Linked DNA regions of Saccharomyces cerevisiae S288C. The protein of the gene in region 1 interacts with the protein of each later gene in a pairwise test. Each region holds a gene or a part of one and is shown on either strand. Other genes may lie near its edges.

Evidence for each region.
Region 2: the proteins of TRX1 (region 1) and MXR1 interact in a two-hybrid assay, tested with the Saccharomyces cerevisiae proteins (one study listed by BioGRID).
Region 3: the proteins of TRX1 (region 1) and AHP1 interact in a two-hybrid assay, tested with the Saccharomyces cerevisiae proteins (one study listed by BioGRID).

What each region holds. Positions count from the first base shown.
Region 1 is NC_001144.5:231,172-233,587, reverse strand, and holds TRX1 (thioredoxin TRX1), read left to right. Parts: upstream 1-1,574; coding exon 1,575-1,886; downstream 1,887-2,416. Other genes in the region: PDC1 (indolepyruvate decarboxylase 1), read left to right, coding at 1-1,198. UniProt on the Saccharomyces cerevisiae protein: Participates as a hydrogen donor in redox reactions through the reversible oxidation of its active center dithiol to a disulfide, accompanied by the transfer of 2 electrons and 2 protons.
Region 2 is NC_001137.3:233,382-236,072, forward strand, and holds MXR1 (peptide-methionine-S-sulfoxide reductase), read left to right. Parts: upstream 1-1,555; coding exon 1,556-2,110; downstream 2,111-2,691. Other genes in the region: YEN1 (crossover junction endodeoxyribonuclease), read left to right, coding at 1-1,359; SAH1 (adenosylhomocysteinase), read right to left, coding at 2,389-2,691. UniProt on the Saccharomyces cerevisiae protein: Has an important function as a repair enzyme for proteins that have been inactivated by oxidation. Catalyzes the reversible oxidation-reduction of methionine sulfoxide in proteins to methionine.
Region 3 is NC_001144.5:367,096-369,892, reverse strand, and holds AHP1 (thioredoxin peroxidase AHP1), read right to left. Parts: upstream 1,113-2,797; coding exon 582-1,112; downstream 1-581. Other genes in the region: CCW12 (Ccw12p), read left to right, coding at 1-196; YLR108C (uncharacterized protein), read left to right, coding at 1,769-2,797. UniProt on the Saccharomyces cerevisiae protein: Thiol-specific peroxidase that catalyzes the reduction of hydrogen peroxide and organic hydroperoxides to water and alcohols, respectively.

The sequences.
Region 1 (2,416 bases):
AGGTTTGCCAGCTAACTTGGTCGACTTGAACGTCCCAGCTAAGTTGTTGCAAACTCCAATTGACATGTCTTTGAAGCCAAACGATGCTGAATCCGAAAAGGAAGTCATTGACACCATCTTGGCTTTGGTCAAGGATGCTAAGAACCCAGTTATCTTGGCTGATGCTTGTTGTTCCAGACACGACGTCAAGGCTGAAACTAAGAAGTTGATTGACTTGACTCAATTCCCAGCTTTCGTCACCCCAATGGGTAAGGGTTCCATTGACGAACAACACCCAAGATACGGTGGTGTTTACGTCGGTACCTTGTCCAAGCCAGAAGTTAAGGAAGCCGTTGAATCTGCTGACTTGATTTTGTCTGTCGGTGCTTTGTTGTCTGATTTCAACACCGGTTCTTTCTCTTACTCTTACAAGACCAAGAACATTGTCGAATTCCACTCCGACCACATGAAGATCAGAAACGCCACTTTCCCAGGTGTCCAAATGAAATTCGTTTTGCAAAAGTTGTTGACCACTATTGCTGACGCCGCTAAGGGTTACAAGCCAGTTGCTGTCCCAGCTAGAACTCCAGCTAACGCTGCTGTCCCAGCTTCTACCCCATTGAAGCAAGAATGGATGTGGAACCAATTGGGTAACTTCTTGCAAGAAGGTGATGTTGTCATTGCTGAAACCGGTACCTCCGCTTTCGGTATCAACCAAACCACTTTCCCAAACAACACCTACGGTATCTCTCAAGTCTTATGGGGTTCCATTGGTTTCACCACTGGTGCTACCTTGGGTGCTGCTTTCGCTGCTGAAGAAATTGATCCAAAGAAGAGAGTTATCTTATTCATTGGTGACGGTTCTTTGCAATTGACTGTTCAAGAAATCTCCACCATGATCAGATGGGGCTTGAAGCCATACTTGTTCGTCTTGAACAACGATGGTTACACCATTGAAAAGTTGATTCACGGTCCAAAGGCTCAATACAACGAAATTCAAGGTTGGGACCACCTATCCTTGTTGCCAACTTTCGGTGCTAAGGACTATGAAACCCACAGAGTCGCTACCACCGGTGAATGGGACAAGTTGACCCAAGACAAGTCTTTCAACGACAACTCTAAGATCAGAATGATTGAAATCATGTTGCCAGTCTTCGATGCTCCACAAAACTTGGTTGAACAAGCTAAGTTGACTGCTGCTACCAACGCTAAGCAATAAGCGATTTAATCTCTAATTATTAGTTAAAGTTTTATAAGCATTTTTATGTAACGAAAAATAAATTGGTTCATATTATTACTGCACTGTCACTTACCATGGAAAGACCAGACAAGAAGTTGCCGACAGTCTGTTGAATTGGCCTGGTTAGGCTTAAGTCTGGGTCCGCTTCTTTACAAATTTGGAGAATTTCTCTTAAACGATATGTATATTCTTTTCGTTGGAAAAGATGTCTTCCAAAAAAAAAACCGATGAATTAGTGGAACCAAGGAAAAAAAAAGAGGTATCCTTGATTAAGGAACACTGTTTAAACAGTGTGGTTTCCAAAACCCTGAAACTGCATTAGTGTAATAGAAGACTAGACACCTCGATACAAATAATGGTTACTCAATTCAAAACTGCCAGCGAATTCGACTCTGCAATTGCTCAAGACAAGCTAGTTGTCGTAGATTTCTACGCCACTTGGTGCGGTCCATGTAAAATGATTGCTCCAATGATTGAAAAATTCTCTGAACAATACCCACAAGCTGATTTCTATAAATTGGATGTCGATGAATTGGGTGATGTTGCACAAAAGAATGAAGTTTCCGCTATGCCAACTTTGCTTCTATTCAAGAACGGTAAGGAAGTTGCAAAGGTTGTTGGTGCCAACCCAGCGGCTATTAAGCAAGCCATTGCTGCTAATGCTTAAACTCACCCAATGACCGATATATTGTGTTTCTATACTGTGTTTGTTATATATAGTTTACCTTTTTTAGACAAAAAAACAGAATTATATATTATCCTTATGTTTTGTTATTTACTCGGAAGCACACAATTGCCCACCACACAAAGGAGGTGGAGGAAACAATTAATTTTTCACACAAGAGGTATATATTTGGAGAAAAATGAAGAATGAGATACTTTTCTTCCGATTACTTAAGTATTACGGCTCTGAAATTTTCTCGAGCATTAGATGATTAAATCAAAATGACATAGTATTTCGCAACCTTTCAGTTGGGCTTTGTTTAAGAAGTGGAATACTTTTGCTTGAGTTGTTTAGTTTTATTTTATCCACTGTTGTCTTAACAAATATTTTCAAGACCGGTAAGCCGAAGATGAAAAATCATTATTAACTCATTTTTTGAACAAAAATATAAACAAAAGAAAGGCAACGCACAATTTTAGAGATACATAAAACGCAGTGGATGTTAAAAATAACAGCGGTACAGAAACGCCTGT
Region 2 (2,691 bases), on another chromosome or scaffold:
GAAGATCCTAACTTTTCCATGGAATTTTATGACATTTTCAAAGATTTCAATTTAGAAGATTTGACATCAGAAAGTCTGAGGAAGTCTCGGTATAGATTGTTTCAAAAAAGATTATATTTATACTGCAAGGATCATTCTGTCGAGCTATTTGGAAGAAATTATCCTGTTTTATTGAATCAAGGTTCATTTGAAGGCTGGCCATCAACTGTCGCAATCATGCACTATTTTCACCCCATTGTCCAACCATATTTTGATGAAGAAGTTCTCAGTGATAAATACATAAATATGGCTGGAAACGGACACTACAGAAACTTAAATTTCAATGAACTGAAATATTTTTTACAAAGTTTGAATTTGCCTCAAATTTCTAGCTTCGACAAGTGGTTTCATGATTCTATGCACGAGATGTTTCTATTAAGAGAATTTTTATCAATTGATGAGTCCGATAATATAGGTAAAGGTAATATGAGGATTACCGAAGAAAAAATTATGAACATAGATGGTGGAAAGTTCCAAATACCATGTTTTAAAATACGGTATACAACATTCTTGCCTAATATACCCATTTCTTCTCAATCTCCTTTGAAGCGCAGTAATTCTCCCAGTAGAAGCAAGAGTCCCACACGACGTCAGATGGATATAATGGAACACCCAAATAGTCTTTGGTTACCCAAATACTTGATACCTCAATCGCATCCATTAGTAATTCAATATTATGAGACACAGCAACTTATACAGAAAGAAAAAGAGAAGAAAGGTAAAAAATCGAATAAGTCTCGGCTACCACAGAAGAATAACTTGGATGAGTTTTTAAGAAAGCATACTTCGCCGATTAAAAGTATCGGAAAGGTAGGCGAGTCGAGAAAGGAAATCCTGGAACCTGTGAGAAAAAGGCTTTTTGTAGATACAGACGAAGATACTAGTCTGGAAGAAATACCGGCTCCCACAAGACTGACCACCGTCGATGAACACAGCGATAATGACGATGATTCGTTGATTTTTGTAGATGAGATTACAAACAGCCAAAGCGTTTTAGATAGTTCACCCGGTAAAAGAATTCGGGATCTTACACAGGACGAACAGGTTGACGTTTGGAAGGACGTAATAGAAATATCACCAATAAAAAAGTCAAGAACTACTAATGCTGAGAAAAATCCGCCTGAGTCTGGTTTAAAATCACGCTCAAGCATCACAATCAATGCTCGCCTTCAAGGTACTAAGATGTTGCCTCCAAACTTGACTGCTCCAAGGTTAGAAAGAGAACACTCCTCTGTCCTTGACCAACTTGTCACAGACGCACAAGATACAGTCGACCGGTTTGTAGCCTGTGACAGTGATAGCAGTAGCACTATTGAATGAGTTAACGGGCACAGCGTCAAAAAATCCGCCACCACAGTTGATCGCGCCGAAAACGAGGGAGTTGCGATGAGTAAAATGAAGGGCATATATAAACAAGAGTAGACAGAGACACATTTTTCAATATCATATATATAGATTTAATTGGAAAGACAGTTATATTCTAACGTCAAAAACTTAACAAGTAAATCAAGTTGCAATGTCGTCGCTTATTTCAAAAACCATTAAGTATGATCCAGCCAAGGATAAATTAATCACATTAGCATGTGGATGTTTTTGGGGTACAGAACATATGTATAGGAAGTATTTGAATGACCGTATAGTGGATTGTAAAGTAGGTTACGCTAATGGAGAAGAGTCTAAAAAGGATAGCCCCTCTAGTGTCTCTTATAAGAGAGTTTGTGGTGGTGACACAGATTTTGCGGAGGTTTTACAAGTATCCTATAATCCCAAAGTGATAACTTTGAGAGAATTAACTGATTTCTTTTTTAGAATCCATGATCCTACTACATCTAATTCACAAGGACCTGATAAAGGTACACAGTATCGCAGTGGATTGTTCGCTCATTCAGATGCTGATTTAAAAGAATTAGCCAAAATAAAGGAAGAATGGCAACCAAAATGGGGTAATAAGATTGCCACAGTTATTGAACCAATCAAGAACTTTTACGATGCTGAAGAATACCACCAGTTATATTTAGATAAGAATCCACAGGGATATGCATGCCCTACTCATTATCTGAGAGAAATGTAGCTTTTTTAGTGTACGTGCCCTTATTTATGAAAAAAAGTCAAGTGCATGAATGAAATATTTACTGTTGAAGAATTTATTATATATATAGGTATACAGGATCTATCTTTTCGATAACGTAACTTAGTATCACATGTATTAGTATTAATACTGTGATAGGATTGTTAGCTGTTGTTTTTATATTTGCAATTTATTTATGATCTTTTTTGATGATCAAACCGTTGAGTTTTTGAACATTAAAAAATAGTGAGAAAGAAGAACTGAAATGGGAATTGAATTGATCAATATCTGTAGTGGTCGGCCTTGAATGGACCTTCTTCTGGAATACCCAAGTATTCAGATTGGACTTTACTCAATTTAGTCAATCTAACACCCAAGTTGCCCAAGTGGAACTTAGCGACAGCTTCATCCAAGATCTTTGGCAAAACGTGGACACCAACTTCGAATGGGCCTGTCTTTTGGAATTCAATGTGCTTTTCTCTGAAAGACTTATCGTTAGACTTGAACAAAGCAATTTGAGCTAAGACTTGGTTAGAGAAGGAACAAGACATAACGAAAGATGAGTGACCAGTAGCACAACCCAA
Region 3 (2,797 bases), 140 kb from region 1:
CACCTGGTGCCCATTGACCACTGAAGCCCCAAAGAACGGTACTTCTACTGCTGCTCCAGTTACCTCTACTGAAGCTCCAAAGAACACCACCTCTGCTGCTCCAACTCACTCTGTCACCTCTTACACTGGTGCTGCTGCTAAGGCTTTGCCAGCTGCTGGTGCTTTGTTGGCTGGTGCCGCTGCTTTGTTGTTGTAAACTTAGTTTATTATTATTTATACATTCTAAATTTTTTATAAACTTTTTTGGCATTTAACAAATATATAACAATTGGGATTTAGTAGAAATTCTTTTAATTTCTTCTTTTTTTTTTTAATCTATATTTATTCTTTTTCTTTAATTTTGTTCGAAACGCATATAATGTTTTTATTGATTTTGTTTCAGGTTCCTGAACCTCGCGGAGTTCCTATTTTACTGTTGTTTTTTTTCAAAACACAGGGGTACCTTGAAGTATACGCAGTGCCTCTTAGCCAAGGATAATATAAACACACTAGAACAAAAAAAAAATACTCCTTGTACAGAATCGTTTTCTATTTTGAATTTTTTTTATATAAACATGGTTTTATTGTCTATTACATAGCATCTACAAATGAGCCAAGACACTTTCGACTGAGGAAACGGTCACATCGGTACCTGGGTTGGTTTCCTTGGCAGCGTAAGTAACGATACCGTTTTCAACAACCATGGCCCATCTACCACTCCAGTAAACACCGTCACCGACGGCTAATTCGAAACCAATGGATTTGGTGAAAGCACAGCCTGGGTCGGAGGCAAACTTGATGTGTGTGGTGTCCTTAACACCTAAACTCTTAGCCCACGCTTGGTTAGCGAACGGGTTGTCAACAGTAACAACGATCACTTGGTCAACTTCCTTTTCCTTAACTAATTCATCCAAGTAGTTGATGTAACCTGGAATATGGCTGACAGTACAGGTTGGGGAGAAAGCAGCTGGAGCACCGGTAATGATAACCTTCTTGTTTTCAGAAATTAATTTGGACCATTCAACTGTTTGTGGCATCTTACAAGATTCACTGTCAGCATCACTTTGGCTGATAGCAATGTATTGGAATTTGTAGTCGCCAGCTGGGAATTTCTTGTTAACTAAGTCAGACATGTTTTGTTGTGGTTATTGGTAGTACTTGTGTTGTTCTGGTTTGTTGAAATTTCGTTATAAAGAAACGGTATATGCACAATTGGCAAGGGAGAGGAAATTGTGCTCCTTTATATAATGTTTCGTTTATGCTTTTCCCTTACATCTCGTCCTTAATTTTCCACCCCTTTATTTTTCATTTAACCTCTCAACAATATGTGAATACCGTCCGGAAGGGGTGTGGAAAAAGAAAAAGAATGATACAGAAGAAAATCAAAAGATGATATTCAACTTCATCACCAAATACTGACCTTTTTGGCCAGAGCTCCCCGTATAATTACAAATCAGAAAAAATCCGCGCTCACTACCTTAACGGAAGGAAATATTCCACATGTCGGATTAATTTTTCTCTGGTCCCATGACCATGTGCCGAAATCTTTTCAGTGACGTCAGGACCGGTTTTTCCGAGAGCCCCACAGGGGACGCCGATGATTTAGGGTTCTTTTCTTGATTACTAATAGACAACATAAGCGCAATAGATCGAGGCCAAGGTGGTGGTTTATAAATTGTATTACCTTAAAGGCTCATTATTAGCTTGAACACGAATATCCAAAGAACACGAACAACTTCAGGACGTGGATAGACAAGTGTAAAGTCACTCACACGCACGCTCATATCAGATGTCTGGCCAAAAGGGCGAGATCGTGGTTTATACAAAAGAGTTAGAAACTACCCCCGAGCTTTTACCAAACCATGAAGTTTTCAAGATTAGGATTGGCCAAAAGCTATTTGAGATCTCAGGTGCTACATTGAATTCGGATGCGCCCAATTTTTTCACCCAATTCTTCAATACGCACGATAAAAATACGATTCTATTTGTTGATAGATCGGAAGACGTGTTCATCATAATATACAGACATTTACAAGGTTATTTTCCCGATATTAAGAACGAAGTACAATTTACCTGTCTTTTCGCGGACGCATTATATTTTCAGTTACCCAAGTTAGTTAAACTCATAAAAGAATACGACTACCACTTCACTAATATTGGAGGTGTTCCCTTTAAGGTACCAAAATCATTATTCCATGAAGAAGGGAACCGGTTGAACTATTTTGAAACGATTTCTCGCATATCTTATGAGGAAATTGAGAAGTGGGAGTCAAATAAGAAGCCGGGCTTTCCACCTTTATTACCACCCTCATATATTGCAAGGTCCCCAGAATTTTTCCGAGATATATTATCTTTACTGGGCGGTTCCAAATTAGAACTGTCTGAGGAAAGAACCGCATCTCTGATAAAAGAGTGTCGTTATTACCGTCTCAACAGGTTGGAGCAGGAATTAGTGCGGGCAAAAATTATATATAATCCCTTAACTAATTGTCAAGAAGTTTGCATAGCTCTTGATAGCGTCTCCAAGAAGGGTGTAACCATTGAAAGGTTAACATCACTTCATACCGGAAACCAATCTTTAGCGGTAAGCAGTTGTCTCAATGGAACTGAGGGTGAAAAAGCCGCTACTGGATTTCATAAAACCGAGACTGATTCAGGCAACAATGATGAATATGAACCTCCAACAAAAAAGGTAAAACATTGTATTGAAAGACACTGGAGCATGTTAAAATACCAAAGGCCTTATATCGATACAGTTTCGCACGATCTTATTTTCCAATTACACTCTAACCAGTGCAAAATAATATTCAACAAAAAG